Linked DNA regions of Ovis aries. The protein of the gene in region 4 binds, or shares a complex with, the protein of the main gene of each other region. Links are inferred from orthologs where the notes say so. Each region holds a gene or a part of one and is shown on either strand. Other genes may lie near its edges. The genes, in order: JADE2, MBTD1, BRD8, MEAF6, KAT7, EPC1 and BRD1.

Region 1 (3,583 bases), on a different chromosome or scaffold from region 4:
GACCCCCCCAGGAGTGGTCTTTGCCCAGCCCATCTCACTGTCACAGCTGTCTGTCACACACCTCTTGACTGCTGCCCCATTAAGCCTGGTGTCCCTAGAGGGGCTCCTGGACATGGGCTTTGTCTCCCAGGATATCACATGCTTTCTCCAGAACACTCCTCAGGGAAGGGGCGTGCTCTAGAGGAGCACCTCACCACTAGCATGGAAGCCCCACCTCGTCTCTAGCAAGGAAGCCCCAGGTCACCTCTAGCATGGAAGCCCCACCTCACCTCTAGCACCGAAGCCCCAGGTCATCTTTTATTTGCCTCAGTCTCAGGAAGGATTCAGCTTGGTATCTAATGGGAACATCAGCGGCCGCCTCCCAAAACCTCAGTAAAGGAAGGAGAGCCCATAACTGGAGCTGGCCCTGACAGACACCCTTATCCAAGTCCTTGCTTTGGAAGCTGTGGAAAGCGACACTTATGAAAACCCAGCGCCCCCTGGTGGCCAGAGGGCTCCTTATCCCTTATGCTCCCAGGATGATGCTGTGTGGGGTGGTGAGCAGGGCTGGGTGTGCTCCTGTGCAGTCACCAAGGGCCCTCGCTTGGTTTAATGCTCTACTGTAGCCACTTTGAAATTCTTAATAATTTTTGAATAGGGAGCCCACATTTTCACTTTGTACTCTGCTCCTCAAACAATGAAGACAGTCCGCAGGAGCAGGACACCTATCTGGGGAGAAGGGTGTTCCGTGTTTGCAGGTGGGATGGACAGAGCAGGTTAACTCGGCCGGGTCTAGCATAGAGGGAGAGAGGGAGGAAGGTCCGCGATGTGTGCAGGGCAGGGTGGGAGAGGGCTTCTGGAAGGACGGTGGCTCACACACCTGCTGGCATCTCACCTGCCTCTTTCCTCCCCTTGGCCAGGCCTGTCTACCTCGTTCCCCATCGACGGCACCTTCTTCAACAGCTGGCTGGCGCAGTCAGTGCAGATCACCGCAGAGAACATGGCCATGAGTGAGTGGTCGCTCAACAATGGGCACCGCGAAGACCCCGCCCCGGGGTTGCTGTCCGAGGAGCTGTTGCAGGATGAGGAGACACTGCTGAGCTTCATGCGGGACCCCTCGCTGCGACCTGGCGACCCTGCCAGGAAGGCCCGTGGCCGCACCCGCCTGCCTGCTAAGAAGAAACCACCACAGGATGGGCCCGGTTCACGGACGACTCCAGACAAACCCCCCAAGAAGCCCTGGGGCCAGGATACTGGCAGCAGCAAAGGGGGTCAGGGGCCGCCTGCCAGGAAGCCACCACGGCGAACACCTTCTCACCTGCCGTCCAGTCCTACAGCTGGGGACTGTCCCATCCCAGCAGCTCCCGAGAGCCCCCCCCCACTGGCCCCCGAGACCCCGGAGGAGGCAGCCCCAATGGCTGCCGACTCTAATGTCCAAGTGCCTGGCCCTACAGCAAGTCCCAAGCCCTCAGGCCGGCTCCGGCTGCCCCGTGAGAGCAAGGGAAACCGGAGGTCGCCAGGTGCCAGGCCTGATGCCGGGACGGGACCGCCTTCTGCTGTGGCCGAGAGGCCAAAGGTCAGCCTACACTTTGACACTGAGACTGATGGCTACTTCTCTGATGGGGAGATGAGCGACTCAGATGTGGAGGCTGAGGACAGTGGGGTGCAGCGGGGTCCCCGGGAAGCAGGGGCTGAGGAGGTGGTCCGCATGGGGGTACTGGCCTCCTAAGTCACCCCTTCCCCTGTCCTGGTCCCCCCATGAGGCCTCAGCCCAGTGACAACTGCCATTTCCAATCTCCGCTGAGTGTCTCAGACCCTTGAGGCTGCCACTCTGATGTGGTTTTATTTTTAATATAAAAAGTTTCGAATTCCACACTATTGTCTTTCCTCTGTGCTGGCCTAGGATGTTAGGATTCCTTCCACAGCTCTGGCCACAAGGACCAGCCCTGGTCTGTTCACCATCACGGCCATGGCAGCGTCCCCGCCCGGGCCACACAGTACTGCTGGGCTCCTGGCTACATGTAGGCAAGGTGATGAAGAGCTCAGGACTCCCGCCCGCTGCCACTGGGTGACACAGACTGTCGTTTGGGCATTATTATGGCAGATGGGCCAGCCCAGGGCCTGCCCCGCCTTGCTCCCAAATCCCACTGGGGTCAATCGGGGGGCGGGGGGGTCCTGCTGCACTTCACTGATCCCCAAGGAAGTATAATAAGTGATACCCAGCCAGAGTCTACTCACTGTCACAAGCACAATGAGCTTATACGAGAAAGCACTGAGGGGGCGAAGAGGGCCTGCTGGTTCCAAGGGAACCACAGCTGTTCCTGGTCAACCCACATCATCTGAGGCCTGCCCACCCACCCTGCGACCCTCCACTCCCCTGCTGCTCTGCCCCTGCCAGCGCCCAGCTCGGCGGCTCTGGGGAGGGTTTCCCAGAGCCCTTCCTGAGCTGTGCCATTTTCTCAGGGGACTCCCAGCTAGCCAGCCGCCAGTGCCGGCGGAGGGCTGCGAGGGAGGGCCAGTGCCCGGTCAGGGGCGTGGGGCTCAGCCTCACCCACTACAGAGAATCGCTCTGGGACTCCAACTTCCTTCTTTCCTTCCTTCGGGGCCAGTCTCGGCTGAGGTCTGATCACTCCCAGACAGCTGACCAGACCAGACCGTTTGCCTTTTCAAGTTTCCTGCTAAGTGATGAGCTTCTTCCTTGGTTTCCTTTTGGAAACAACTCCTTCCAACAAGCAGTGGGATCCCGGGGCCCAGGATGGGTTAGTGATGGCCTTCCGGGGCTGTGTGAAGTCTTGCTGGATCTTCCTGGTTCCTCTTCCCCTCTGAGCCTTAACCCCCTTCCCCAACTGTGCCCTTCCAGCCCCTCCCTCCCCACCGTCACCATCCTGCCTTCTCCGCTCCACCCTCTAAGTCCCAGGTAGTAGCTCTGAAGAGTTTCAGTGGAGTGGCCCCAGGGTGATAGCTCAGGGAACAAATGAAAAACAAAAAGGAATTCAGTGAAAACATTTTTTTTTTTCTTTTATGACTTACTCCTGGGTCACTTCTGCCACTGGTAAAGCCAGAACTTCTCCAACAAGAACCTTGCAAAAGTCCAGTGAATCAGTCGAATCATTCTGTGGATGCCAAAGAATATTTTGACCATAATACAGCACAGCCAGGACCTGACAACTTGTCACTTGGACTTTTTTTAAAAATGGAGTTCTTTAGCAACCAAGTGTAGAAACATGTTCGTTGCACACACCCAAGGAGGTGAGCCCAAGCTCTCGGACAAGGATGCTGTTCTGCTGCTGCTGGTGTTGGATTTTGGATCCTGGGCCCACTGTGAGCTCTCCTGAACCCTAAAACTCTGCACGAGGAGACTGACGGTGAAACCAGCGTGGCAAAAGTCTCACCATGGGGATCCCCCTCACATAACACAAAGCGCAAATCAGTGGGATAGGGAGCAGGCTGAGCACCCATCCCCGACTCAAGACTTTCAAGGTACGGCAGTGGCATGGTCATGGACACTGAGTTTCATGTGAGTTTTATCAAAACAGGAAACAAAGATAATGACTAAGTTTAAAGGGCTGGACAGATGTGTCCAGTCGGAGCAGACTCAGAGTGG
Region 2 (4,152 bases), on a different chromosome or scaffold from region 4:
GTTCTAAAAGACGGCATAAAGTCACTGAGTAGTAAAAAACATTCTTAAATTCAACACATTGCAAAGAAAATTCTGAAATCTCAAATTCTTGTCCAATTAAATGTAAAGACAGGCCAAAGCAGCTTGTACTAATTCAGTCTTATAGAAAGCTCAATGATTACACCTGCTGTGGTTAGTCCACTGACACCAAGTTACCACATGACTTCTTGCTCATCAGTTTCTGATAAACTGGAAATCATTTTAATCTGCCTGGTTGGGCCATGTTCTCTGGAGTTCTTTTAGGTAAATATCAACCATGGTAAGCAACCAGTAAGCAAAATAATTCTGGGTCTATGGGAGGCTTACATCTACAATATAAAAGAGGGTAAGAGATAGGTCTTGACGGTTATCACTACAGTGAGACCCATTTGGGTTTCACGTAGGGAAGAAACTAAGCACCACTGCAGTGGCTGCTCTAAGTCCCCAGTAAAAAAATGAAAAACAAAATAACTTTATCTTAGGATGAAATATTCCATGACAAGTTTCACAAAGAGAAAAAATCTATAGCTTTCTATGATGGAGGGGGAAAGATTTTAGAAAGAGTTTTTTGGTTTAGAAGGATAGGTTTTTTAGTCTCCAAGCCTATTGTAAGCACCAAACATCTGTTTTTATTTTTAATAAAAAATTTTTTAAAAAGGACTAATTTTCAGGTTTACCTATTACCTCAAAAATCATTCATAGACTCTACGCTTTACCATCTATTAAATATTATGGTAATACTTTCTCCTGTCAATCAAAGACAAGTGCTTCTGATTTTTAAAAAGTCTGCCTCTTATGGCATACTGCACCTTTAAGCATAATACAGAATGCAGAGTTATCAGCTCTCACAAGGGATCCCATTTCTGTGCAAGGATACCAAGACCCCAGTTGGTTAACAATTAGGAAACGTATACAAACACCATGTGGTGACCCACTTTTCTTATGTCCTTTGTATTGCTGGGACTTGGTCTTTTTCTTCTGTTTTGATGAACCTGACTGGCTTTCTCTTGATGCTGAAAAATAAAGAAGAAAATTGATATCAGATAATTTCTTACAACTCTCAATACAACTCAGATGAACTACCTTTACCAAGACAATGATGTTTATAAAAGTACACAATGCTTCGAAAATAAGGGTCATTGTTCCTGCAAAACCATGAACCTCAATACCAGACAGATTTCATTATTTATTCAATAAGCACTTCTTATATGTTAATAAATTTTAGTCTGTAACTTTAAACTCACTAAAGGAAGTCTAGTTTAATTCGGTGGATGTTCTTAATGTTGTGTTTCTATAGTCATTAAGCAACTGACTACTGAGTTCACACTGCCATGGCACACACGGTCTGATTCTGTGATATCATGGTTGAGTCTTATCACGTAAGATCTTACCTGGCAACCAATCAGACATAGGTATATTCTTGTCCTGTAAGCTCACAAGATGATTTATGTGAGACAGTCCTTGGAGAATTGCTGATTTTTGCAAAAGGACACCTTTTCTTATACCAACTTACACTGTGATGCTGGAGGCTGTAGTTGATATCCAGTTAACTGACACCACCCTACAGGATAGAGGTCAGGGGACTCACAGTCTACCCACTGATCATATTCTTCTTCCCATCCATCAAAATGTATCCTCAAGAGACGATGAATAATTCGAGTTACTGTGGCTACACATATTAATCGTGGCTCCATGAGATCCACTGCTTCTAATTTCATCCCGACACGAAATCCGTGATTTGGAACATCCTAACATGGAGAAGCAAAACATTAACACTGGTGAAAAGAATAATGTGTAACTCCATCATCACTAGGATAGAAAAAAAGAGAAGTAACATAACCAATTAACAATTTAGACCAAAAAAATCCTTTATTGAAACATATGAAGGTGAAGCATGTAAGAACTAGTTAGGAAATGCATTCATTCCTAATAATGAAACAAAATTTGGAAACAAATCTCAACTCCTATGTAAAGGAAATACCTACATTGTTTAACTAATATGTATGTGTTTATTTAAATTTACCTTATTAAACAGTTTTACTGGTGCTGCAATGGAGCCAGTTTCCCTGAGGTAGTCAAACCATTTAAAAGGAAGCTTTGTGTAACCTGGAAAACACAACTAGTTTAACTAGAAGTTCATTTAAAATTAGTGTAATATAAAAATGCAGATATAAAGTAATTCAGTACACATTACAATCTCATGAGCTAATGCTGTAGAGTACAATAATTCCTCCCTGTTACATGGCTCTTCCTGTTTTTATAGACAGAAACAGGTGCACTCAAGTATCCTATAAGAGCTAGACTTTTGCTTTTCAATCCTAGGCTTAGAATAGTCTAACATTTAATATTTTCCAGTAATATTTTTCTTTCTTTGTAAGAACAGTGGCTAGGCAAATACTGTTTTTACAGTCTTCTGTTTGGCTTTTCTCCTTCTTAAGAGAAAAATCCAAGGCTCAGATATTGAAATTAGGAAAGTCACTGGTTAAGCCATATGAACTATTTAAGGGTGTCATTTTTTTTTAAGTCATATGGTAATTTTAATTTTTTTTTTTGGTAATACCACCTGCCTTGTGAGACCTTAATTTCCTAACCAGGGATTGAACCCAGGGCCCTGACAGTGAAAGCTCCAAGTCCTAACAACTGGAATGCCAGGGAGCTTCCTCATACAGTAATCTAAAGATGAAAACTTGCTTTCTCTCAAAGGCTACAGTCCATTTTTTAAAAAAAGTTTATGTATGTGATAGCCCTTTGAGCCTACATCATCATCTTAACAGGGCTTGAGAATACCAATTCTTATTATAAAATGTACAAATGCTCAGGAAAATTCTCCACCAATTTATTAAAGCTAGTTAGGTTACAGGTCTTGATGTTTTCAGACACCCCACAGCTCTTGATACAAACATATACATATGTAACACACATATGTTTATACATACATATTATATTTTCAAACAGCAAATAATCTAGGGCTAAAAATAAAAAGAAATCTAGGGCTGTGGTAAACAGTGTAAATAGGTACTATGTAAAAAGAAAACAAGGATGAATACCCACTGTATATATTAGAAAAAAAGTACCTCTGGGTGGAGTGAGTTCAATCATGTTAATTTCACAGAAACCAACAGGGAAAATAGAAGGGGAGGTTGCATGATAACAGAACCAGTCAGATCCATCTGCTGCTTCTGAGCCATCGATCCCAATCATCAGGAATCCATCAGCCAGCACCTTTTAAATTAAGAGAATTCCAAGTATTTAAAATTAGGTACCACTATTATAGAAATGATCCTTTAAGTGACATTCTAAAAGAAAGCAAAGTCTATTACATAAAGATCTCGTGAAAGTGAGAAATGTTTACTGAACTCTCTTAAATAACTGAAATTATAATGAAAAACAAATCTGCATAAATTCTAGGGTGTGCCAGAAATAAAAGCGTGGTTACAGGGAAGTGATTTTAGAGGTCTAGGGAAAACATGCTCCTGACAAGGGCCAAGGCTGTTTTCTCCTGTGGCACGAAACAGGGCTGAGTGCTCTTTTACAGTTCAACCATCTAGTCTCGGCTAAGCTTTAAGTCTCATTCAGTAGGGACTCTACTTATACCCTTCTGACTTTCACATAGTGGAGTTTTCCTAAACGTTTCCCATCTTCCTCAAGCTCCGGCTTTACCTCTTTCATGCTCCGGATAACTGTGCTGCTCCATGACAGGAACTGCGTGAGGGACCTCACAGTCCATCCTTTGCGCATCAGACTGCTCTACGTAGTAGGGCTTCCTTTGCCTCTCAAGACAAACCTCTCCATGTCTCCCAATCCCCCTTACATTAGAAGTATTTTATTTTGAAACAGTTCACACTTAAAAAAAGGTATATACAACAAATTCCTAAATACTTTTCACCCAGAGACCCAATTCAAGTTATATCACTCAGTCATGTCCGACTTTTTGCGACTCCATGGACTGTAACCTGCCAGGCTCCTCTGTCCATGGGGATCCACCAGAGAAGAATACTGGATTGGGTTGCCATGGGCCCCTCCAGGGGATCTTCTCAACCCAGGGATCAAACCCAAGTCTCCCACATTGCAGGCAGATTCTTTACCATCTGAGCCACCAGGGAAGCCCAAGATTACTGGAGTGGGTAGCTTATC
Region 3 (4,763 bases), on a different chromosome or scaffold from region 4:
ACCTTGTGCAAAGTAACTAAAATGTCTGGGCCTCATGGTGAAGGAGAGACAAGGACTGCCTTTCCTCATAGGATAAATTGAGAGTAAGCGTTCAGTTTCATTAATGCAACGCAATTAATAGCTTTCTTATGGACACACAACTGTACATTTTTTACTTATCATGCTCTTAATTTTGAGTTGACCTGTCAAACTCTAGAATTGCTGGGTTTTTTTACCTCATGCTTCTCTGTATGGACAGCTAGTAGGCTGATTATATCACTTTCAGTCCCCAAGCCACTCTTCAACTCCTTTACCTGCTTGTCTTCCAGGGAGGTGGAGATGACAGAGCAGTCTGACAGCAGGTCCTTGCGTATAACAGATCCCAAATCTGCAGCTGTGGACTCAAACATGGGGGAGACTACGACCTCCTCATCGGACAGCAAGCCAGCTGGTGGAGAAAGGATCCCTTGCGACATGGCAGCAGGGGCAGTTTAGGTCTAAAAAGAGACAAGAGTGGGTAGGGAGGAGAACCTTAAGGGATAAAAGGGGCTGAAGAATTCGCCCTCTTTTCTAGGTAAGAAACAATTCCCTTGCCCCAGGGCAACCTAGTCTCGCTGCCTGAATTCCTACTCCCTTCTCCTTTCGACTACCAGCAAACGGGAAAGAGAGAAAGAGTTAATCATTTAATCCAATCTGAGGCAGCATTTCGGACCGCGAACAGGAATGAACAGATATCTAACTCCGAAAACATAAGGCCAAGTTCCAAGTAGGGAGCCTCCCTCAGCCGTGTCAGAAGCCCTAGGCTCATTCTCTATACCTCGCTTCTAGGCCCACGGTGAGGACAGAATTATTAAGAAAAACAGAAATGGCGGCAGTTCCGCTTTCTGAATGCCTAATCCGCCAGAGCAAAGGTGCCCCAACTTGACTCAAGTTCAGCCGCACACTTACCTAAAGACGCCACACTTCTACGGGACCGGCTCACTCACACCCCACAGCCGAAACTGGGCTTTCGGCAGCTTGAGAGGACAACCCCACCCACGAAGCGCACCTTTGTTTCTGATACAATGTTTTAAATTGCGCGCTGAGTTCGTTCGGCCAATCAGATAGCGAACCTTGCACCTACCAATCAGTGCAAGGGGGCGGGCGAAACCCGGAAACGGTTTTCTTAGGCTTGACCTCTCTGCTCAAATGTGGGACGGGTTACCAACTGTTGGATTTTGGAGCTGGGTCAACTGGAACTTCTGTTTATCAGTTTTTCTTGAACCCTAGGCATTTCTTTTCTAAGAAGCCTGAAGGAAATCCTAAGGCTTCAGCCACCATTCTCTGTTCTTTCGCACATTCCTTCTCAGGAACTCACAAGAATACCTGATTTGGGGCGCTGGTTCATCCTAGGGTGGGGAGAGGGGACTACATTTCCCAGGACGCACCGCGAATAAACGCTGGAACGCTATCTCCCAGAATTCCTTGGGCTTCAATTCGGCCAGAAATCTTCCTTCGGGGGTTGGAGACGTCGGGGCCAAGATGGCGACGGGAACGGGCAGTAAGTATCTGCCTTGCTCTTGCGTGGAAGGTGTTTGTAGAACCAAGGCCAGGCAACAGATCTGTCACACTCTTAGGGAGTAGAAGCAGTGATTCACCTGAGAGCCCAGAGCCATCAGAGACTTGGGCTCGAGCGGCGCTGTTAAGGCCAGCGGTTGGGGGTTGAGGGCCCAGAAGCGTGAAGTCTTACACTTAAGTAAGGCCGCGGAGTTTTTTTGCTTTTAGAATTTTTATTTATTGGCTGCGCTGGGTCTTCGTCGCTTTCCGTGGACTGTTCTCTAGTTGCCGCGAGGAGTGCTCCTCTCTAGTTGTGGTGTGCAAGGCCACGGAGCTTTGAGAAAAGCAGCCTAAGAAAATTCTTGTATGTTTGTCAGCTCTGCGGGGTGAGAGGGAAAAAAGGTGCCTTAGAGGCTCCGGCGTGCGGACAGAGATGCTGTGAGCCATATGGAGTGGCCGGGGTCCCAAAGAGTCATTTTCTGACGAACATTTGTGAGGCCTGTACTCACAGAGAGATGGGACATGTTAATCGTGAGCTTTTTCTGCCACTAGGGAAAAAATACATTTCCTGTATCTCAGCCATTTCCCTCTGTTTCAGGGACTGAGAAGGTCTTGTAGGCCTAACAGCTTGAGGGGAATGGGTGTAACTGAGAGAAGTAAACAAGTTTATGCTAAGAAGGAGGCGGGGCAGTAGCGGGGGTTGGCCGCTCGGAATCCTGGGAAATAAGGCCTGGGGTCCACTTTGGAATAAAGCATTCTTTTTTTTTTGGCCAGGGCAGAGCTGGGAGGTTGGTGGTTGGCAGGATCATGGGACCCACGTCCCCTCTAGGGAAAAGGCACAGACTTAACCACTGGACCACCAGGGAAGTTCCTGGAATAAAGCATTCTTAAAACTGGGTTTTTTGGAAGAACTGCCCTAAATTAACTTGACTTTTTTTTTTTTAAATATGGTAGAGTAACCATGGCATTTACAGAAAAATGTTTTGCCAGATAATCAAGTGCAGTTCTCAAGCAATGAATAGGCACCATCCTAGTGGTGGTGTTTACTAGAGAGGTGAAAATCAAGATTTGGTGATAGTGGCTCACTTTGTCCTTACAGGTTAGGACATTTTTGTATTAGACTTTTAATCCTCCCTTTGGGACTTAGTGCCTCAGTGGTTGTCTCTAAATCTTTCAGAACATAAGCTGCTGAGTACTGGCCCTACAGAGCCATGGTCCATCCGAGAGAAGCTGTGTTTAGCGTCTTCTGTCATGAGGAGTGGAGATCAAAATTGGTAAGGTATTTAGGATATCTGCTTCCTTGGGTATTAGAAACCGTTTTTTTTTTTTCCCCTTCATGTAAGTACCGGTGGATTCCAGTAGTTAACGTTTAAGCAGTAGTTAACAGCCTTCTTGAGATGCAATTACATATCACAAAATTATATTCACAGAATTCCCAGTATATTCACAGGATTTAACTTAATTTATTAAAATTATTAAAACTTATTAATATTTAATTTATTAAATTCACATAATTTACATAGGACCAATGCTAGAGTCTAATTTTACATTTTAAATACACTTGAAAGAAACCTCTTACCCTTAAGGAATCACTCTGCAAATCTCTTCGCCTCTCTAATATTTCCGCCTCCCTCACCAAACACTCATCTACTTTCTGTCTCTCTATAGCTTATTCTGATCATTTCATATAGATGGAATCATATACTTTGTGGTACTCTGGGGCTTAGCATAATGCTTTCAGGGTTCATGCTGGAGTATGCATCAGTACTTTATTCTTTGTTTTGATGAAATTGTAGTTCCTTGTATGGGTTTACCACATTTTGTTCATTTGTTGATGAACATTTGAGTGGTTTTTACTTTGCTGAATATTAATGCCGCTGTGAACATTTGTGTACAAGCTTTTGTGCAGGCATGTTTTCATTTCTCTTGAAAGAGTGGAATTGCTGGATCATAGTTGAGTTCAGTCACTCAGTCGTGTCCAACTCTGCTACCCCATGGACTGCAGCACGCCAGGCTTCCCTGTCCATTACCAATTCCTGGAGTTTACTCAGACTCATGTCCATTGAGTTGGTGATACCATCCAACCATCTCATCCTCTGTTGTCCCCTTCTCCCGCCTTCAATCTTTCCCAGCATCAGGTCTTTTCAAATGAGTCAGCTCTTCAAATCAGGTGGCCAAAATATTGGAGTTTCAGTTTCAACATCAGTCCTTCCAGTGAATATTCAGGACTGATTTCCTTTAGGGTGGACTGGTTTGATTTCCTTTCAGTCCAAGGGACTCTCAATGGATCATATTATAACTCATATTTATCTTTTTGAGGAACTGCTTTCAAACTAAAAAGTGGCCTCACCGTTTTACATTCCCACCAGCAATAAATGAGGGACCCAGTTTTTCTGCATGCTTGGCAAACATTTAGTCTTTTTGATTATAGCTATACTGCTGAGTGTGAAATGGTATTGTATTGTGGTTTTAATTTGTGTTTCTTTTAAGTACCAGAAAGTAGGACTGTGTGTGTTTTCCAATCTTTTTTTCTACCAGGACATAGTCTCATTTTTAACATTTGGTCTCCCCGCCCCCGACTTTTTTTTTTCTCTCCGTATCTAAAGTTACCTTTTAGTTGTCTTAAGTGTTAAAATTACTTAATAAACAAATTTGCATTTGTAGGGTTTATCTCTACTACTTTAACCATTCAAATGAGTTTATGAAAGCACCATTACTGATCACATGTAACACTTCTACAATTCTATGTATTTTTCAAATAACTTTTCAAAGAGAAAACCAGAATACTCTAGGTAGCAGCTATTCTTGAGCTGGTAAACACTGACAAAACAAAGCATGGTTATTTGCCGAATCTCAGATTGAGCTTAAATATAACTCAACTATAAACTGAATTCATTTTTATACAAAATATTAATATCAAGTAAACTGGATTGAAATAGAATCCAATATGTATATTTTATTACAGTTTTCTTTAGTTTAAGAACATTTAAGTAAAAGTTTGAAATTTTGAATTGTGTTTATGTTTTGAGGAGGTTCTTAAGATATAAAGTTCAAAATTCAAAATGGTATACATCTATATCTTATCTCCCAGGATTAGCAGTTCCTTGTGTGTTTCTCTGCCATTAAATTTTATACTTGAACAAATAAATATTTTCTTTTTTTCTCTCCTTTAAAAAAAAAATCCTTTATTTATTTTTGGCTGTGCTGGGTCTTAGTTGCTGTGCACGGGCTTTCTCTAGTTGCTGCGA
Region 4 (4,152 bases):
AGTACAATGGTAAAAGGAGGAACCTGACCTTGGTACAATGTGTAAGTTTAGTTCTATCATTTTATCAAGTGGGTAGCTTCCTGTAACCACCACCGCAGTCAAGATATAGAACTGTTCTGTCACCACAAAGATCTGCCTCCTGCCACCCCTCTGTAGTTGTATCTCTCCTTTCTTCCATATATGTGTATTATACTTTCTGCTAAACCATTCAAAAGTTAAAAGCAGATCTTGGACACTTCGTCCCTAATTGTGTTAGCAGATACCTCCTAAGAATAAGAGCATCTTTCTTAACGTAACCACAATTATGCCTAGAAAATTAGCACTACATTAATAGTATTATCTAATATACAGTCTTTATTCATATTTCCCCTAATGGCCCCCAAAATGCATTGCTAGCTCATTTTCAACCAGGTAGTGTTTGTGCATTGCATTTGGCTGTTATGTGTCTTTAGTCTCTTAATTTAGGATCTTCCCAACCTTTTCATGGAGAAGGCAATGGCACCCCACTCCAGTCCTCATGCCTGGAAAGTCCCATGGATGGAGGAGCCTGGTGGGCTGCAGTCAGTGGGATCACTAAGAGTCGGACACGACTGAGCGACTCCACTTTCACTTTTCACTTTCATGCATTGGAGAAGGAAATGGCAACCCACTCCAGTGTTCTTGCCTGGTGAATCCCAGGGACGGGGAAGCCTGGTGGGCTGCCGTCTATGGGGTCGCAGAGTCGGACACGACTGAAGCGACTTAGCAGCAGCAGCAACATTTTCAGTGGTGAGCTTGTTTATGACATTATCTTGTAGAATGTACAAATTGTAGGTTTTTCTTGTTGTGACTTCATGAGGGATCCTTTAAATACTTTTGGCAAAAATGTTGCATTACTGATTATGTACCTCTTGTTTACCTCCCAGTTGTTTTCTCTTTTTTTGACTGCCCATGCCATGTCGGATCTTAGTTCCCTGACCAGGGATCGAACCTGTGCTCCTGCAGTGAAAGCATGCAGTTTTAACCACTGGATCACCAGGGAAGTCCTTGTTTGCCTTTCTGTTATCAGAAAGCTCAAAACGACAGATTGGCCCATTGTTGGTGCTGCTAAGTTTGATTATGTAATTTCACAATTGCAAAAGTTATTTTTTTCTCTTCATAATTGACAGTTAATTTCAGAGGTTATACTTTTTTAGAAGTGTGGATATGCTCCTCCCCCAGTTTGTGTCTCTGGGTTTAGTGTCCATTGTTGATTCTTACCTGAATCAGGTATTATAAAGGAGGTTGCAAAATGATGATTCTAATTTCACTGCTCCTTCTGCATTTGTTACTAGCATTCTGAAAGCAGAGTTGTCCCTTTTTATCTTCTTTCCCTTTCATTCTGTCTCCCTCTCTCTAGAATCCTTGTAGATGCATGGACTTAAAACCCAAAAACCCCCCAGTGTATTGGGGTCTAGTACTGTCACTTTTTTATGCTAAAAGTTTATTTTATTATTTAGTACAAATTCGTTTATTGAAATCTATACGAAGGAGTACATAAATCATGAATTTACAACCCACTGGCTTTTCACACCCCAACACACCCATCATTATTGTTTTTGATGCTCATTAGTCACTCAGTTGTGTTCAGCTCTGCGACTCTAGGGACTGTCACCCGCCAGGCTCCTCTGTCCACGGAATTCTCCAGGCAACAATACTAGAGTGGGTTGCCATTCCTTTCTCCAGGGGATCTTCCGGACCCAGGGATCGAACCCCGGTCTCCCACATTGCAGGTAGATTCTTTACCAGCTGAGCCACCAGGAAAGCCTCATTTGTCCCAAACATGGCCAGAGGGAGCCCCTCCAGCTGATCCTTTGATGTCACCCTGTGATCTGAGCACCTGGCTGTTTGCTGTCCTTTTGTGCTTTTCTTGTCCCAGGCCTGGCAGCAGTCATTTCTCTGAGGAGTCCTGGTTCTTTCGTTAAATCTTTTAAACTCAGGTTATTAAACAGAGATACTTCATAGCACTAGTCTGTGCTAGATGTTTTTAATAATAGACATTAAAATAAATACATATTTAATACATGAAAATGACTCTGAACCTAAAGCTAAAGTAATCCCATGTGTCACAGTGGATCACATACCATACATTGGAAAACACTGCTATGTATGTAGGCATTCAGCATGAATGTCATTTTGGTCAAGGCAAGTGGTGTGGAGGTGTTTCCGTAATGAACTTCATAATTAAAAAAAGACTTCCTTATATTTGTCCTGGGGCATCCTCAGCTTGAGCCATAGGAGTAGCTTGGTGCTTACAATGAGTTTCTTGTGTGTGTTTTAGAAACTCCAATAGCAAGAACGATAGAAGGAACCGGAAGTTTAAGGAAGCAGAGCGGCTCTTCAGTAAATCCTCAGTTACTTCAGCAGCTGTAAGTGAGGTGGGGGTGGGGGGCAGGATCTTTCTGTGGCCCATTGTTAAGGAAGCCCTCAGTTAAGTTTCTGTGAGTTTTCCCTTTCCCGTCTGTCTGTGAGTAGGGTGTCTCTTTCCTTTCTGTCTGTGAGTGCTCTCCTGAGACCTGTAATAATTTTTTTGGTAACTGGTAGTTTTGTCTTTTAGGCAGTGAGTGCTTTGGCAGGAGTTCAGGACCAGCTCATTGAAAAGAGTAAGTTTATTTATTTATTTATTTTTTAACTTCATCAATTTATATTTGAGCTACCATCACTCCTATATTTAACTTCTGTCCAACTGTGTATCTGAAGACTGCATATCTTTTTCTTGCCTCTTTCTGGAAGTTAGGAGCCCTTTTGGATATCCTTAATCATGTCTTTCTCTGGTGGAAGAAACTACCATGTCCTTCCTGCCTTTTCAGTCACATGAAGATTGACTTTAGCTGCTCAAAGACACAGAAATGTGTTTTCACTCCTGTTAAGTCTTAGGAAATTTTTTTTTAGTTAAAAATAACCCTTTTATCATGGAACATTTCAGACATATCTAATAAACCCCGTGTACCCAATTTGATCATTCTTAGGAAATTCTGATGCTATGACGGGAATGTACCTGTGTGTTCTTAAATTTAAAATGGAGAGCAGATTGTATTTACCTTGTAGAGAAATTGTATCATTCTGTGTACTTAAGCCATACAGTCTGACTCCTTTCTAACTTCTCGTAATGAGACTTAGAGCTTCAGGTTTGCCTTTCTGCATCAGACTCTAGGTAGACGGACTGGATGGTCTCCGTGCGGGTCGGGTCACTCTGAAGCTCACCCTGCGTTTTGCACTGTGGCTGGGTACTTTCCCATGGCATATCTTGTCGTGGGGTCCAGTTGTTTTGTTTGCATTAGGGCAGTGGTTTGAGGAAAATGGATTTTGGTAGTTTGGGAATTAGAACTACTCAGTGACTTCTGTTATTATCTCTGTATACAGATTTCTGAGTTTTTAGCCTCGTCTCTAACTCATTTCCCTGAGCTTTAGTCATGCATTTCTAGAAAATTCTAGAAAATGTCTTCTAGATATTTCCACTCAGTCAGACTCATTTTGTCTAAAACTGAGCTGTGCCGTTTTCTTCAAAGTGTGTCTGCCCAGTTATTTTGTTAGAGAACTCTATTCTCCCACCTTCAAAACTTGGTAGGTGGCTTTGACTCCTTTCTACCAACGTCATCAGTTGGACTAAGTCCTTTTTTTTTCCCCCTTTACTATGATTGTCAGAATGGTTTACTTTGCCTTTCACTCTTTTTTCCTTGGTACAAAATCTCTCCCTTGTCCCCACATTTTTGTATAACACATTCTATGGAATGACCCCTGTGTTCTTGATCTTTGGTCAATGGAGGAAACAACCTTTTCTCTTAGAATTTGTACTTTTATGTCTTCATATCTCAAGGATTTTGGAGTTTTATATTTTGGGCATTTATTTTTAAACTGTTTTGAAAATTTTCCTCGAACATGCATTGCTTTTGTTTCTTTTGCCTTCTTATGTACCTGCACTAGGAAGAGAATGGATTAGCATAGTCCCAAAGGGGAATTGTATGCTAATTAGTGAAGCATTGTATATTTTTGTTAAAAGAGTAAAGTAAGAAAATAATGAAAAACAAAACAGGCAGATTTTATCCAGTTCTCCTGTAAAAGGATCAGCAGTCTCCCCTTTCTGTTTTACTGGGCTTCTCTGAAGCTTTCATCACAGCAAACCCCTCCGGCATC
Region 5 (4,152 bases), on a different chromosome or scaffold from region 4:
TAAGTAAGGCAATGGCACTCCACTCCAGCACTCTTGCCTGGAGAATCCCATGGACGGAGGAGCCTGGTGGGCCACAGTCCATGGGGTCGCTAGGAGTCAGACACGACTGAGTGACTTCACTTTCACTTTTCACTTTCATGCATTGGAGAAGGAAATGGCAACCCACTCCACTGTTCTTGCCTGGAGAATCCTAGGGATGGGGGAGCCTGGTGGGCTGCCGTCTATGGAGTCGCACAGAGTCAGACATGACTGAAGTGACTTAGCAGTAGCAGCAGCAGCAAGTTCTTAGAAGCAGAAAGTATCATGCTCCGGTTATTTTCCTAGGAACACAGGCAGACCTATGGGAACACTCGGGAACCTCTCCTGGAAAACCTGACGAGCGAGTATGACTTGGATCTTTTCCGAAGAGCACAAGCCCGTGCTTCAGAGGATCTGGTGAGTATTGAAACTTCCAAGATGAGGACTACTTGTGAGGGTCACTTGGAACTGCCAAGGAAAATTAGCAGTCAGTTTGCTAGGGATTAAACATACCTTGCTGCTTGACCCTTTTTCCCTTCCCCCGGACATCCTTATTTGAGACTTCCTTCCCATTGATATTTAAAATTAATTACCCCTCCTCCCTTCCTTTGTCCCTTAAAGTTTTCCCTCTCCACCTCAACTCCTGGAAGGACCTGTTTGGTAGAGGTAGTTATCTGGATAGAACAGTGGGTGCCCCTTTGTGTCAGTTGGATAATTTGTAATTCTGAGAACCCCTAGACTGGAAGGTACCCCTCTGTTGTCCTCTTAACCTAAATAGGAACTCCCCTTTGTGGGATTGCTTCAGCCTTTCATTGTAGCTATAAAAGAATGGGAGAGGAATAATGATCAAGGTTGTTGTCAGATAGTTTAGCTAATTTAGAATCTGACAACTATGTTGTCAGATAGTTTAGAATTCTGATTGAATGAATTAAATATGTCCAAATGGCAGTCCACTCCAGCACTCTTGCCTGGAAAATCTCATGGACGGAGGAGCCTGATAGGCTACAGTCCATGGGGTCGCAAAGAGTCGGACACGACTGAGCGACTTCACTTCAAAGAAACTTAAAGTTTGTAAAGTGAATTTCATCTTCCTTTTTTTTAAAAAAATTTATAATCAAATACTTTATTTAAGAATTCTTGATGATATAGTGGTCCATGGGCTGGTTGGAAAAGAATTTCCAGACATGAGGCAGGATGAGAGGAGAACAGAGTTTCTTAGAGTGGGAGATGTTATTAGAACAGCAGACTGGCTCAAGGGAGAGCTGACCCCTTTCTTGGGCTAGTTGCCAATTTTTATAGCCTCAAGGCAGAGAAAATTCCAGCTGGAAGGGTAACATTAAGTGACTGGTTAGAAGTTTCAGGGTGGGGTATTTTACCTAATGGAGGGTAAAGGACCTGGCTGATTTAGATCTAGAAGCTCATGGCAACAGTTGTTACTGACCTTGGTTAATTACAGAAATTTTTGTCCTGTGACCTTGGTATAAGGCTCCATAGAGGAGACTTGTTGAAATTTTGGGAGAGGCAGGGTTTGATTGCTGCCCTTATTTAGGCTGGGCTACCACTGCCAGTTTTCTCTATCTTACCCTGGTACTGAACATTTCCTAGGCCAGCTTTTCAGAGCTCTGCCTGATTATTCTTCAGAATTATTTCTGTGACTAACTCATAGCCACTGAGTGGGGACAGGTATTCAAAAATATCTTCTACTTTCTAGCTTTAAATTCCAGAATTAAAGCATCATCCGTGTTTCAAAAGTGTTTTTTAAAGGACCCAAGTTGAGAGCATGGCCAGCATGGGTGCATGTCATGCAGATCCATACAGCTTTCTTTATAAAAGCTTTTGCACACGTATGAAGTGCATTCTCGAGAAGCTTTTGTTTAGGTTTAGAATGTTTGTTAAGGTGTAGGGAGTTTGTGATAGATGGTCTTTTAAAATTCTGTTTATTTCAGACTGATAAAAAGTAAAATTTTACGAAGGGCTTGTTCTGATGTTCAAGAGATTAGGCCCAAGTGGGTAGGTAGCAGAGAAAAGCCACTCTCAAGACCTGTGCTCTGGGCAGTGTAGACAGTACATTTTCTCTAGCCTTCCTGGTGACCCATGCCCCCATAGTCCTCTTCAGTGTAAGTTACTCATGAGCTAGAAGCCAGAAACTATTTTTTTCATAGCCGGTTGTGGTGGCATGCACGCAGCTTACAACAATAGAAATGATTAATTCTTATCCTCCTTTAACTTGATTTCTTCTCTGCAACACAGGAGAAGTTAAGGCTGCAAGGCCAAATCACAGAGGGGAGCAACATGATTAAAACAATTGCTTTTGGTCGCTATGAGCTTGATACTTGGTACCATTCTCCCTATCCTGAAGAATATGCACGACTGGGACGTCTTTACATGTGTGAATTCTGTTTAAAATACATGAAGAGCCAAACAATACTCCGCCGACACATGGTAAGTTGTCTGAAGGTCCATGACCATGGTGATGATAAGCTCTAGGGTGTCTTGATTGTTGTTTTCCAGTTGCTCAGTCATGTCCAATGCTTTGCCACCCCATGGACAGTAGCACTTCAGGTTTGCCTCAAAGCTTCCCTTTTGCTCAAGCTCAAGTCCATTGAGTTGGTGGTGCCATCCAACCATCGCATGCTCTGTTGTCCGCTTCTCCTCCTGTCTTCAATCTTTCCCAGCATCAGAGTCTTTTCCAGTGAGTTGGCTCTTCACATCAGGTGGCCAAAGTATTGGAGCCTCCGCTTCAGCATCAGTCCTTCCAGTGAATATTCGGGACTGATTTCTTGTAGGATTGATTGATCTCCTTGCTGTCCAAGGGATTCTCAAGAGTCTTCTCCAGCACCACAGTTCAAGAGCTCAAATTCTTCGGCGCTTAGCCTTTTTTATTGTCCAGCTCTCACATCTGTACATGACTACTGGAAAAGCCATAGCTTTGACTAGACAGAACCAGTCTGTTGTTCCGTGTCTGGTCTAACTGTTGTTTCTTGATCTGCATACAGATTTCTCAGAAGGCGTAAGGTAAGGTGGTCTGGTATTCTCATCTCTTTAAGAATTTTCCAGTTTGTTGTGATCTACACAGTCAAAGGCTTTAGTGTAGTCAATGATGCAGAAGTAGATGTTTTTCTGGAATTCTCTTGCTTTTTCTATGATTCGATGGATGTTGGCAGTTTGATCTCTGCTTCCTCAGCCTTTTCTAAATCCAGTTTGTATAAATCTGGAAGTTCTCAATTCACATACTGTTGAAGCCTAACTTGAAGGATTTTGAGCATTACTTTACTAGTATGTGAAATGAGTGCAATTGTGCGATAGTTTGCACATTCTCTGGCCTTGCCTTTCTTTGGGATTGGAATGAAAACTGACATTTTCCAGTCCTGTGGCTAGTGCTGAGTTTTCCAAATTTGCAGACATATTGAGTGCAGCACTTTAACAGCATCATCATTTAGGATTTGAAATAGCTCAGCTGGAGTTCTGTTACCTCCACTACTTCCTGACTCCAGGATGTCTGGCTCCAGGTGAGTGATCACACCATTGTTGCTATCTGGGTCATTAAGATCTTTTTAGTATAGTTCTGTTTACTCTTGCCATCTCTTCTTGATATCTTCTTCTGTTAGGTCCATACTGTTTCTGTCCTTTTTTTATGCCCATCTTTGCATGAAATACTCCCTTGGTATCTCTAATTTTAAAGAGATCTCTAAGCTGTCCCATTCTGTTGTTTTCCTTTATTTCTTGGCAGTGATTACTTGAGGAAGGCTTTCTTATCTCTCCTTGCTATTTTCTGGAACTCTGCATTCAGATGGATGTATCTTTCCTTTTCTCCTTTGCCTTTCTCTTCTCTTCTTTTCTCAGGTATTTGTAAGCCCTTCTCAGACAACCATTTTGCCTTTTTGCATTTCTTTTTCTTGGGGATGGTTTTGATCACTGCGTCCTGTACAGTGTCACGAACCTCCGTCCATAGTTCTTGAGGCACTCTATCAGATCTAATCCCTTGAATCTGTTTGTCACTTCCACTATATAATTATAAGGGATTTGATTTTGGTCATACCTGAATGGTCTAGCAGTTTTCCCTACTTTCTTTAATTTAATACTGAATTTTGCAATAAGGAGTTCATGATCTGAGCCACAGTCAGCTCCCGGTCT
Region 6 (4,152 bases), on a different chromosome or scaffold from region 4:
CACATCCTCCTTCATCTTGAATCCCATCAGTTGTTCCGATGTCACCAAAGCAGAAGCAGCAAACTGAGCACTAGCAGAATCCAAAGTCTTGGACACAAAACCCTACAAAGGAAAACACAGAGCAGAGCTAATCAGCACCACTTAGTTTCCAACGACTATTAAGCTACACAGCTATATGCCAAAATCAGTCCGCATACAAACGAAAGTGGCAAACCACTGAAGTATCTTCATTTCTTCTTGACAGTCATAAATCTGATTAATGTTGAGGTCATCTTGTAACCCGAGGATTATAACGTTAAAAAATAAATTCTTTTTTGCTGTACATCGGATTTTGGACCTTAGTTCCCAGGGATTGAACCAACACTCCCTGCATTGGAAGGTGGAGTCTTAACCACTGGACTGTCAGGGAAGTCCCAAGGATTATGGATTTTGATCTTATGTGACAATATATAATATGAAATTACCAAAATAAACCTTTAAAATGTGGAAATGGTAAACCTCCAACACAAAGTGTTAAACAAGAAACATGCTAGTAAAACATTTTGGTGATTTGCAATGAATCACTGCATGAATAAATTCATATAATGAATGGGTGAGTAGGCAAAACTCCCTTCACCAAACTTACACACATACATACACAACCTAAGGCAGCCAAGGGACAGTAAGGTGACTACCCCTTTAGAACAGAGGAACAAAACATCAATCGCATCCTAACTCAGCCTAGAGATTAAGAGGCCCCTTGAATTTTTTAAATGATATTTTCCTCTCAGATGTCTAGAGACACAAATCTCAGCCTTCCGTTAAGTTCTATAAATGTGCTTAAATGGCCAATATTTATCATGCTTTAGGTTCAAAAGTGATTTCTTTTAAGAGTAAAAGAAGTTATTTTAGCATAATTTTTAATACATTTTAAGAAGAATTAAAAGTTCTCCAGATAATGAGCTGGGTGGGGCTGTAAGTTAAAGAGGTACATTCACAGACTACAAGATCAGGCTTGAGGACAGGGTCTCCATCTCATTTGCGCTTTTAGGTTTTACTTTTTTACAATAGGAAGCAGAGGGTGACAGCTTCTATACTCACCTGTAATGTTCTTTCTAAACCCTGTATAGAGTGGCTATGATGTAGATTCAGGCGAAAGCCACTTTTCTGCTGGTTAGATGCAAGGCTCTATGACAACAGTTGGTAATTAGAGATGAACTCTGGTGGGAAACATGAGGGATAATCATAAGACAGACAAATCCCTCACCTGTGGCATGGTGGTGGCGGAATTACTACTTGCTTGCTGTTGCTGAATTTGTGCAAGCTGCTGTTTCTGCATGAGTGCCAGCTGCTGTTGATGTTGCTGGTATTGTTCGGCTGTAAATGCTGAACATAAAACGAGAGAACACTTTATAGAAACGCACAGCTATCACATGCAACTTACAATATACGAAAACACATTTAAGCATTTAAAAAAATTTGCGCAAAATGAAAGCATTTGAGCATCCTGTTAAAGATCACTTCTGAATGAGAATTTCAGCATTTTTTATAACCACGCTTGACAAGAGTGGCTTGAGTTTAAAGAGAAATAAAGTGAAACTTTGAGTTGCACATACCAAAGAGAAGTGCTCACTTCCCAAGCTTTGAAACCATTATTTTTTTGGTAAGCTGTGACACTTGTGCCAGACAGTGTAAAAGGTAATACCAGCTTTTTTCAACCGCATGTTGGAAATTCAGCTTTGCACTGAGCTTAAGAAGAGATACAATAATTACCATCTGGTGTCTTTATTTATTCATACTACTGTCCTAATCCATTCAGATGATCTCCAGCAGTTCTGTGCAGAAATACTAGCTGTTCTACATAGTTCTGAATTTTAGTCATTACAAATATTTCCTCCATATGAAATATAAGGTTGTTGGTTTATTACCTTTTTTTTTTTTTTTTAAAAAAAGAACCCATCCTTTAAGTTTAACAGGAAGAAAAGAGGCTCCAAAGGTTAATTAATTTTCCCCACCCAATTAACCCACCTGGAAAAAATCCAGTCAATAAGAACGGAGTTGTTTATGTTGGCTTACTGTACAGAATGATGTCTGAGGAAAGACACTGTGTTATGCTACTTATGTTTGTCTATGGAGAGCTCAGTTCTAAAAAAAACAAACAAAAAAATGTTCATTTATTACCCCCCCAAAAAGTGTGTGCAGTTTTTAAAAAGGAAAACCTTTTTCTTTTTTTTTTTTGCCAATTAAAAAAAAAAAAAGAAAAAAACGTACATACAATCACAACATCTGACTTTAAGGCTTCTTTAAGAAGCCTGTGGTGTTTGGGTAAGAATTATTTCAGAACAGAAAAAAAAGGGTTAGCATGCATCCTCAGTCACTAGGGAATCTATAAACCATGCATATTCCCTCAATCTAAGGTTTAATGTCTTCAAAATACTGTCAACTAATTTGTCATCTTTAAAGATGTTTTGATAATTTATTTAGAATATTACATCATCAAGTTTTGCAATTTTCCCTTATAACTCATGAGAATCTTTATCTTCTGGGGCAGAGTTTCTGCCTAGGACAACTAGAAAATACTTAGCTAGAAGTTAGGTAGAAATTCTACCATATTTTAAACAAGTCAGAAAACTGTGACATAATATTTCAGAAAACCTCTGAAGTTGCAGTACTTACACAGACTTTCATACTTGAGCTGAACTAATTTCCTGGGTTACAAAGGCAAAAAATCATTTGTTGGAAAAACTCTACCATTTATTTTCCTATTTTTGGTGTTACACATCTGTTTAGTTGATATATGTCCTGTGATGAGATTCTTCTTGTTATTTAGTCAGTCATGCTCGATTCTTTTGCGACCCCATGGACTGTGTCCCCAGGCTCCTGTGTCCACAGGATTTCCCAGGCAAGAATACTGGAATGGGTTGCCATTTCCTTCTTCAGGGGATCTTCCTGGCCCAGAGACTGAACCCATTATCGCCTGATTGGCAGGTGGATTCTTCACAACTGAGCCACCAGGGAAGCCCTGTTTTTTTCCTACTATGTTGGTAATCCTCAGCTCTGAACTCTGCAGGAAAAATTCTTTTTTATTGATAAATACATTTTTTTATTGCTAAAAGGATAATCCATAAATAGTTTCATAAAAGCAAGTTTCTGTCAAAATGACCATTTCCATATAACAGAAATAAGTTAAATCAGAACTTAAAAAAAATTTTTTTTAAATAAGGCTGTCTTGAAACAGATTACAATTAACATAATATTTATCTTTATGCTTAAAAAATTTCATAAAAAGAAACTGCTTAATGCCAAAAAGACAATTTAAGTATTGCTAATATGTTTTTGCATCATCTACTTTAATTTCCTAAGCTTGAGTGAGTTGCCTAAATCTTGAATTTCCTGGTAGGAGATGCTTAATAAACTTGAAAAAACAACAACAACAACAACAACAAAAAACCCCATTACTGGAAGGTTACATCATTACACACCTAAAAAACAATAATTTAGCATTCACTAGAATAGATCTGTGTTCAGAACTCCATTTATATGAATGAAAATATTCTTTTGCAGAACTTTGCTGGTGTTTGTGACTTAAAATTAGCAATATTAAGTTATAAATCGATTTCAATAAAGGTTCCAAATATTTTACCCTATTTAAGTCAACATTTCAGTCCTCAGTCTCTGAGGGTTTTGTGAATTTCATTTTTTAAACAACTGTTAACTTCCTAATGCAGATCTAGAAATTAAAAAAAAAAATGCGACCAACACTTTAGATCACTAACACTCACTGTGATTTTAGATCCCTATGTTAGCCTATTTCTTACATATCTCTAAACTCCAGAGTCTAGTTATAAAAATTTCCCTGGACATTTCTGATAAATGTTCTAGAAGAAATGCACAGTATCATATACACCAGAAGTGATGGTAGTAAAAAACATGGGTCTAGGGGCCAAGAGATACTGATTTTCCTTTCATTCTCAGCTTTATCATAATTAGCTGAGTATACCTAAGGAAATTACTTAATCTTCTGGACCTCAGTATATTTATCTAAAATATACAAGTACTGAATCAGGTGATCATTAAAGTCCTTTTCAAGACATAACATGCTAAAGGGTTTTAGATTTCTTCTGAAAAATAACAATTCCAATCCAAAAGGATGTATGGATGAGTAAGGAAAGC
Region 7 (4,596 bases), on a different chromosome or scaffold from region 4:
GGGATGTAGGGCACGCCGTAGCACTCCTGGTGCACCGCCAGGTTGCACATGTCGCAGAAGAGGATCGCGTTGCTGTTCTGACACTCGCCGTCCATGCAGACGCAGCACACCGCGTCCTCGTCAATCAGGCACTGCTGCTCCCCCTGCTTCTGCTTCTCGCAGTGCGAGGCCTTCTCGAAGCGGTCCATGAGGAACTCGAACACGCTCTGCGACACGGCCGACACGCAGTCGCCCCTGCGCTTCTCGTTGACGATCTCCAGCCAGGCGTAGTCCTCCTCGTCCATGTCGTACTCCACCTCGTTGTCCAGCTCCTCAGCTGACTTCTCCACGAACTTGTAGTACACGGGGGGCCGCCGCGGCGCCGACGGGGGGCTGTACTCCACCACCCGCACCTTGGGCTCAGGGAGGGCGCTGGCGGAGGCGGGCGCGCCGTGGGCGCCGGGCGGGGCGTCGCCTTTCTTCTTGACCCGGTTGTTCTTGTGCCGCTTAGTTCTCAAGCACACGGGCGGCCGCTCACTGTTCTCCTTGTTGCTGTTGCACTCGCTCATTTCCTGGGCGGTGAGGTCATCTTCCAGGATGATCTCCAGGGGGTCGAAGATGCTGATCCTGTGCAGGCGCCCCTCGATCTCGATCTCCACCATCCTCTGGGCTTGAGCGTAGGTCAGGGTCTCTCGTGTGGGGGAGTGCTTGGTGCTGCCGGGGGAGGAAGGGTGCCTCGCTGCAGCGCGATGACCTCGGCCTTTCCTCCTCATTTGGCACTGACTCCCTGAAACAGACAGACAACACGTGAGCGCCATGCAGAAGACAGGAGAGGTGAAAACCACCCAGCACATGTGCGCAGAGCGAACCAACTGGCACTAAATCCAAACACAACTCCCAGGTAACCTGCCCGAGGCTCCCAAAATCACTCATCCTGGACTCATGCAGGCACCTCAACAACCGCCACCAGCCACTGCCACCAGGCCACTGCCCCCCAAGGGCTCCCAGGACCAGAGCAGAAGGCAGGCAGTCAGGAGGGCCCCCAGAGGCACACACGGGGACAAGTCCCTCCAGAATGCCGACGCCCACAGCTCACTGGTCGGCTTGGATCCACACCCCTCGCGAGTTCGGGTCACAGTCCCGAGCCCAAGACAGTACATGCACAGAGCTGCACTCCTGCAGGCTCTGGCCACTGCCTGACCCCCGCTGCTGCTCAGGAGAGAGCCCTCAGCCCGCCACTGTCGCCACGAACGCACCCTGCACAGCCATGCTGAGGCACAGGCCACCGCCCGCGCCAGGACCCATGAGGGCAGCCCCATACTGGCCTGGGCAGGCTTCACCCCAGGAGACCCCACCCAGCCCCTGCAGGGCCTCGGAAGTGGCCACCGCATTCCAGCCACCTGCCTGCCCCTCAGGGACCCTCTCGCTGCTGGCTTGACCACAGTGCTGGGCCATCATCCTGTCACAGTGAGGGCAACCCAGAGACCCCCTCGCCATCCACAGAGTGCTCCTCCTCTCTACCGGGTGCAGCACAGGCTCAAGCGCCTAAAGCCTTGGCCATGGAGACTTTCGAGCACTTGCTCTTGTCAGACATCCGCCATCAGCCACCAGCAAGTTCTACTTCCAGTCTCCCTCTCCTGACGATCCCGGACTCTGGTCCAGCACCCGCCAAGCAGGGTAACACCTTAGGAACTGATGACAGTGCCCTCTCCCCACTCCAAACCACCACTCGCCACTGACAGGAAGCAGAGTGATGCTGACGAGACTGGCTGACACTCGTGCCCGGTGGAGCCCAAGGCCCCCCGCCGGACAAGGCCCTGGGGAGTCGGCCAGGAAAAGGCGCCACACAGCGGCCTGCGCTGTCACACCTGAAAGGAAATCGCAGCCGACCTGAGATGCATTCCTTGAGACAGAGCCTTCCGACTGTGGTTTTCCTTCTCTTTTGTGAAACAGAAATGTTTCTGTGAAATCTGACAAGAATGCCCTACAAAGGGGAGCCTGAGAGCCCGTGGGCAAACCAACCCTAACCCACCTGCATCTCCACATCCCAGGGGCCCACAGCCCTGCACTCCTGGGGTGCAGTCAGCCAAGCTGCCCCCCAACTGGCCCTGGCCCTGCCAGCCCTTCCGGGGGAGAGGAGCAAGTCCCCCTGCTGTCCACACCCCAGCCTGCAGGAGGGCCCCCCGTGCAGCCTCAGGGGTCCTTTGGGGTGGGGCAGAAGCCACAGCTGGTTACTCAGCAGAGGAAAGGCAAACGTGTAATTTTCTCCTCCAGAGCACAGTACCAACAGCACTAACCATAACCGGCTCTTCAAAACCCACATGCTCCTGAAGTGACCGAGACTTTGTATCTGGCCACTTGCTACAAGAAGGACAGCACTTACTGGTCATGGCAGCTCTGCAATCTGAAAGCTCGATGGTGACAGGGACAAGAAGGCGCTGGTCACTCTGCAAACCACCTCACCAGGCCACCATTCCCCTACACCCCAGGCTCCAAACCTCCAACCTCCGTCCAGCTGGAGCTTCCGTGCAGGACAAAGGTTCCCACGTGGACGCCATTCACAGACCCTCCAGACCCTTCTGATAAATGCCCCCTGAAAAGCCCTGTGGCCACAAGAGAGGAACGCGGCACCCAAGACCGGTTCAGCTTCCAACACCGCCTTTCCCGCCTGGCCCTAGGAAAGCCACGAACACCCTCGCGCAGGGGCGGCATGCAGCGCCGCCCCCGCGACCCTTCTCGGGCGGTGGGCGGCTCCTCCGGCGGGGCCCGCCTGTAGCGCGTGCCCCGTAAATTACAACCAGGTCACTTCTTCCTGGGGGCCCGGAGGCCGCCCGCCGCGGGCGCGGGAGGGGGCGGCCGCGCGGGTCCGCGCGGCCCTGGAACAGGAAGTTTGCCGTCCGGGCTCAACAAGCCCAGCGCGTCCGTTACATAACGCGACCCTCGGGCAAACGCTCGGCCGGGGAAGCCGAGACCCCGGGCCGCCCCCACCTCGCCGGGCGGGAGGCGCGGCGGGCAGGGCGGCCTCGGCACCTCCACAGCCCGGCCTCCCTCCCCGTCCAGCCTCCCGCCCGCCGGCCTCGCCTCCCTCCCTGTCGAGCTCCCACGCCGCCCGGCCTCCCTCCCCGGCCCCCCGGCCTCCCGGCCAGGCCCTGCAGCCTCCCGACCGGACCCCCCGGGCCTCCCCGTCGGCCGGCCTCCCTCCCTGCCGGCCGCTCAGCCTCTCAACCCGGCCCGCCCTCCCTCCCTGGCCTTGCAGCCTCCAGACCGGCCCCCCAGGCCTCCCCGCCTCGCCAGGCCGACCTCCCCGCCGGCCCCCCGGCCTCTCAACCCGGCCGGCCTCCCTCCCCGTCCAGCCTCCCGCCCGCCGGCCTCGCCTCCCTCCCTGCCGAGCTCCCACGCCGCCCGGCCTCCCTCCCCGGCCGCCCGGCCTCCCTCCCCGGCCCCCCGGCTTCCCGTCCGGGCCTCCGGGCCGCCCTCCCTCCCCGCCTCTCCAGGCCGGCCTCCCGCCCGCCGGCCCCGGCCGCCCCGCCGCCGCCGCCGCCCCCGCCCCGCGGCCTCCCCCGGCCCCGCCGCCCGCGGACAATGCGTCGCCGCGGCGGCCCCAAACATGGCGGCGGCCCCAGCACCGAGAGGCCGGCGGCGGCGGCGGCCCGCGGGCGAGGCGGCGGCCCCGGCCCGCCCGGCGCACTCACCTTCGGGGCCGCGGCCGCGGGAGCCGGGCGGCGGGCGCGGGGGCCGGCGCGGCCGAGGCGGCGCTAATGGCGCCCGCGGCTCCTCCGCCAACGGCCGCGCAGGCCCGGCCCGCCGCCGCTCTGGGCGCGGGCTCCTGGCGGCGGCGGCCCGGCCCGGCTCGGCGCGGCGGCCGCGGGCTCGCGGGCGGCGGCTCGCGCGGGCGGCGGGGCCGAGCGGAGGCCCGGCGCGGGAGCCCGGCCGGCGGGCGGCGGGCGGCGGCGGCGGCGGGGCGGCGGGGCGCTGGCGCGGGGCTGCTCGGACGCCAGGGCCGGCTCGCTCGCCCGCTCGCTCCCCAGCGAAGCAAACAATGCGGCGAGCGCTCCGCCCGGCGCGCTGCGTGCGAGACGCGCCCCGCCCGCCGCCGCCATGACGCGCGGCCGCCGCCGGGGGAGGGGACGGAGGGCAGGGCCGCGCGCCGGCGCTGGGGCCGGGGCGCCCGAGGGGCGCGGGCTTCGGGAGGGGGGCGCCGGGCGGGCGACGGGGGCCGCACACGGGCTGTGGGGGGCATCTGAGGGGCGCGGGCTTCAGGAGGGGGGCGCCGGGCGGGCGACGGGGCACCGCACACGGGCCGGGGGCATCTGAGGGGCGCGGGCTTCAGGAGGGGGGCGCCGGGCGGGCGATGGGGCACCGGACACGGGCCGGGGGCATCTGAGGGGCGCGGGCTTCAGGAGGGGGGCCGCACACGGGCCGGGGGCATCTGAGGGGCGCGGGCTTCAGGAGGGGGGCGCCGGGCGGGCGATGGGGCACCGGACACGGGCCGGGGGCACCTGAGGGGGCGCCGGGTGGGCAATGGGGACCGCACACGAGCCAGGGGCACCTGAGGGGGCACCGCACACGGGCTGGGGGCATCTGAGGGGGCGCCGGGCGGGCGACGGGGCACGGCAC

What was found.
Region 1: MEAF6 (region 4) and JADE2 share a complex: the UniProt entries of both Homo sapiens proteins name them as parts of the HBO1 complex. The link is inferred for Ovis aries from reciprocal best matches to the Homo sapiens genes MEAF6 and JADE2.
Region 2: MEAF6 (region 4) and MBTD1 share a complex: the UniProt entries of both Homo sapiens proteins name them as parts of the nuA4 histone acetyltransferase complex. The link is inferred for Ovis aries from reciprocal best matches to the Homo sapiens genes MEAF6 and MBTD1.
Region 3: MEAF6 (region 4) and BRD8 share a complex: the UniProt entries of both Homo sapiens proteins name them as parts of the nuA4 histone acetyltransferase complex. The link is inferred for Ovis aries from reciprocal best matches to the Homo sapiens genes MEAF6 and BRD8.
Region 5: MEAF6 (region 4) and KAT7 share a complex: the UniProt entries of both Homo sapiens proteins name them as parts of the HBO1 complex. The link is inferred for Ovis aries from reciprocal best matches to the Homo sapiens genes MEAF6 and KAT7.
Region 6: MEAF6 (region 4) and EPC1 share a complex: the UniProt entries of both Homo sapiens proteins name them as parts of the nuA4 histone acetyltransferase complex. The link is inferred for Ovis aries from reciprocal best matches to the Homo sapiens genes MEAF6 and EPC1.
Region 7: MEAF6 (region 4) and BRD1 share a complex: the UniProt entries of both Homo sapiens proteins name them as parts of the MOZ/MORF complex. The link is inferred for Ovis aries from reciprocal best matches to the Homo sapiens genes MEAF6 and BRD1.

Annotation. Positions count from the first base shown.
Region 1 is NC_056058.1:43,744,277-43,747,859, forward strand, and holds part of JADE2 (E3 ubiquitin-protein ligase Jade-2), read left to right. Parts: intron 1-899; coding exon 900-1,708; 3' UTR 1,709-3,583. UniProt on the Homo sapiens protein: Scaffold subunit of some HBO1 complexes, which have a histone H4 acetyltransferase activity. Acts as an E3 ubiquitin-protein ligase mediating the ubiquitination and subsequent proteasomal degradation of target protein histone demethylase KDM1A.
Region 2 is NC_056064.1:35,303,280-35,307,431, reverse strand, and holds part of MBTD1 (MBT domain-containing protein 1), read right to left. Parts: intron 3,241-4,152; coding exon 3,093-3,240; intron 2,125-3,092; coding exon 2,042-2,124; intron 1,767-2,041; coding exon 1,532-1,766; intron 1,032-1,531; coding exon 954-1,031; intron 1-953. UniProt on the Homo sapiens protein: Chromatin reader component of the NuA4 histone acetyltransferase complex, a multiprotein complex involved in transcriptional activation of select genes principally by acetylation of nucleosomal histones H4 and H2A.
Region 3 is NC_056058.1:47,270,036-47,274,798, reverse strand, and holds the start of BRD8 (bromodomain-containing protein 8), read left to right. Parts: upstream 1-1,491; 5' UTR 1,492-1,500; coding exon 1,501-1,519; intron 1,520-2,692; coding exon 2,693-2,789; intron 2,790-4,763. Other genes in the region: kinesin-like protein KIF20A, read right to left, coding at 294-455. UniProt on the Homo sapiens protein: May act as a coactivator during transcriptional activation by hormone-activated nuclear receptors (NR). Isoform 2 stimulates transcriptional activation by AR/DHTR, ESR1/NR3A1, RXRA/NR2B1 and THRB/ERBA2.
Region 4 is NC_056054.1:12,337,946-12,342,097, reverse strand, and holds part of MEAF6 (chromatin modification-related protein MEAF6), read left to right. Parts: intron 1-2,299; coding exon 2,300-2,387; intron 2,388-2,575; coding exon 2,576-2,621; intron 2,622-4,152.
Region 5 is NC_056064.1:36,555,982-36,560,133, reverse strand, and holds part of KAT7 (histone acetyltransferase KAT7), read left to right. Parts: intron 1-324; coding exon 325-435; intron 436-2,268; coding exon 2,269-2,460; intron 2,461-4,152. UniProt on the Homo sapiens protein: Catalytic subunit of histone acetyltransferase HBO1 complexes, which specifically mediate acetylation of histone H3 at 'Lys-14' (H3K14ac), thereby regulating various processes, such as gene transcription, protein ubiquitination, immune regulation, stem cell pluripotent and self-renewal maintenance and embryonic development.
Region 6 is NC_056066.1:32,590,446-32,594,597, reverse strand, and holds part of EPC1 (enhancer of polycomb homolog 1), read right to left. Parts: intron 2,125-4,152; coding exon of another isoform or gene 2,108-2,124; exon of another isoform or gene 2,008-2,107; intron 1,366-2,007; coding exon 1,247-1,365; intron 1,168-1,246; coding exon 1,081-1,167; intron 103-1,080; coding exon 1-102. UniProt on the Homo sapiens protein: Component of the NuA4 histone acetyltransferase (HAT) complex, a multiprotein complex involved in transcriptional activation of select genes principally by acetylation of nucleosomal histones H4 and H2A.
Region 7 is NC_056056.1:225,165,708-225,170,303, forward strand, and holds the start of BRD1 (bromodomain-containing protein 1), read right to left. Parts: upstream 3,060-4,596; 5' UTR 2,370-3,059; coding exon of another isoform or gene 2,363-2,369; 5' UTR 834-2,362; coding exon 1-833. UniProt on the Homo sapiens protein: Scaffold subunit of various histone acetyltransferase (HAT) complexes, such as the MOZ/MORF and HBO1 complexes, that acts as a regulator of hematopoiesis.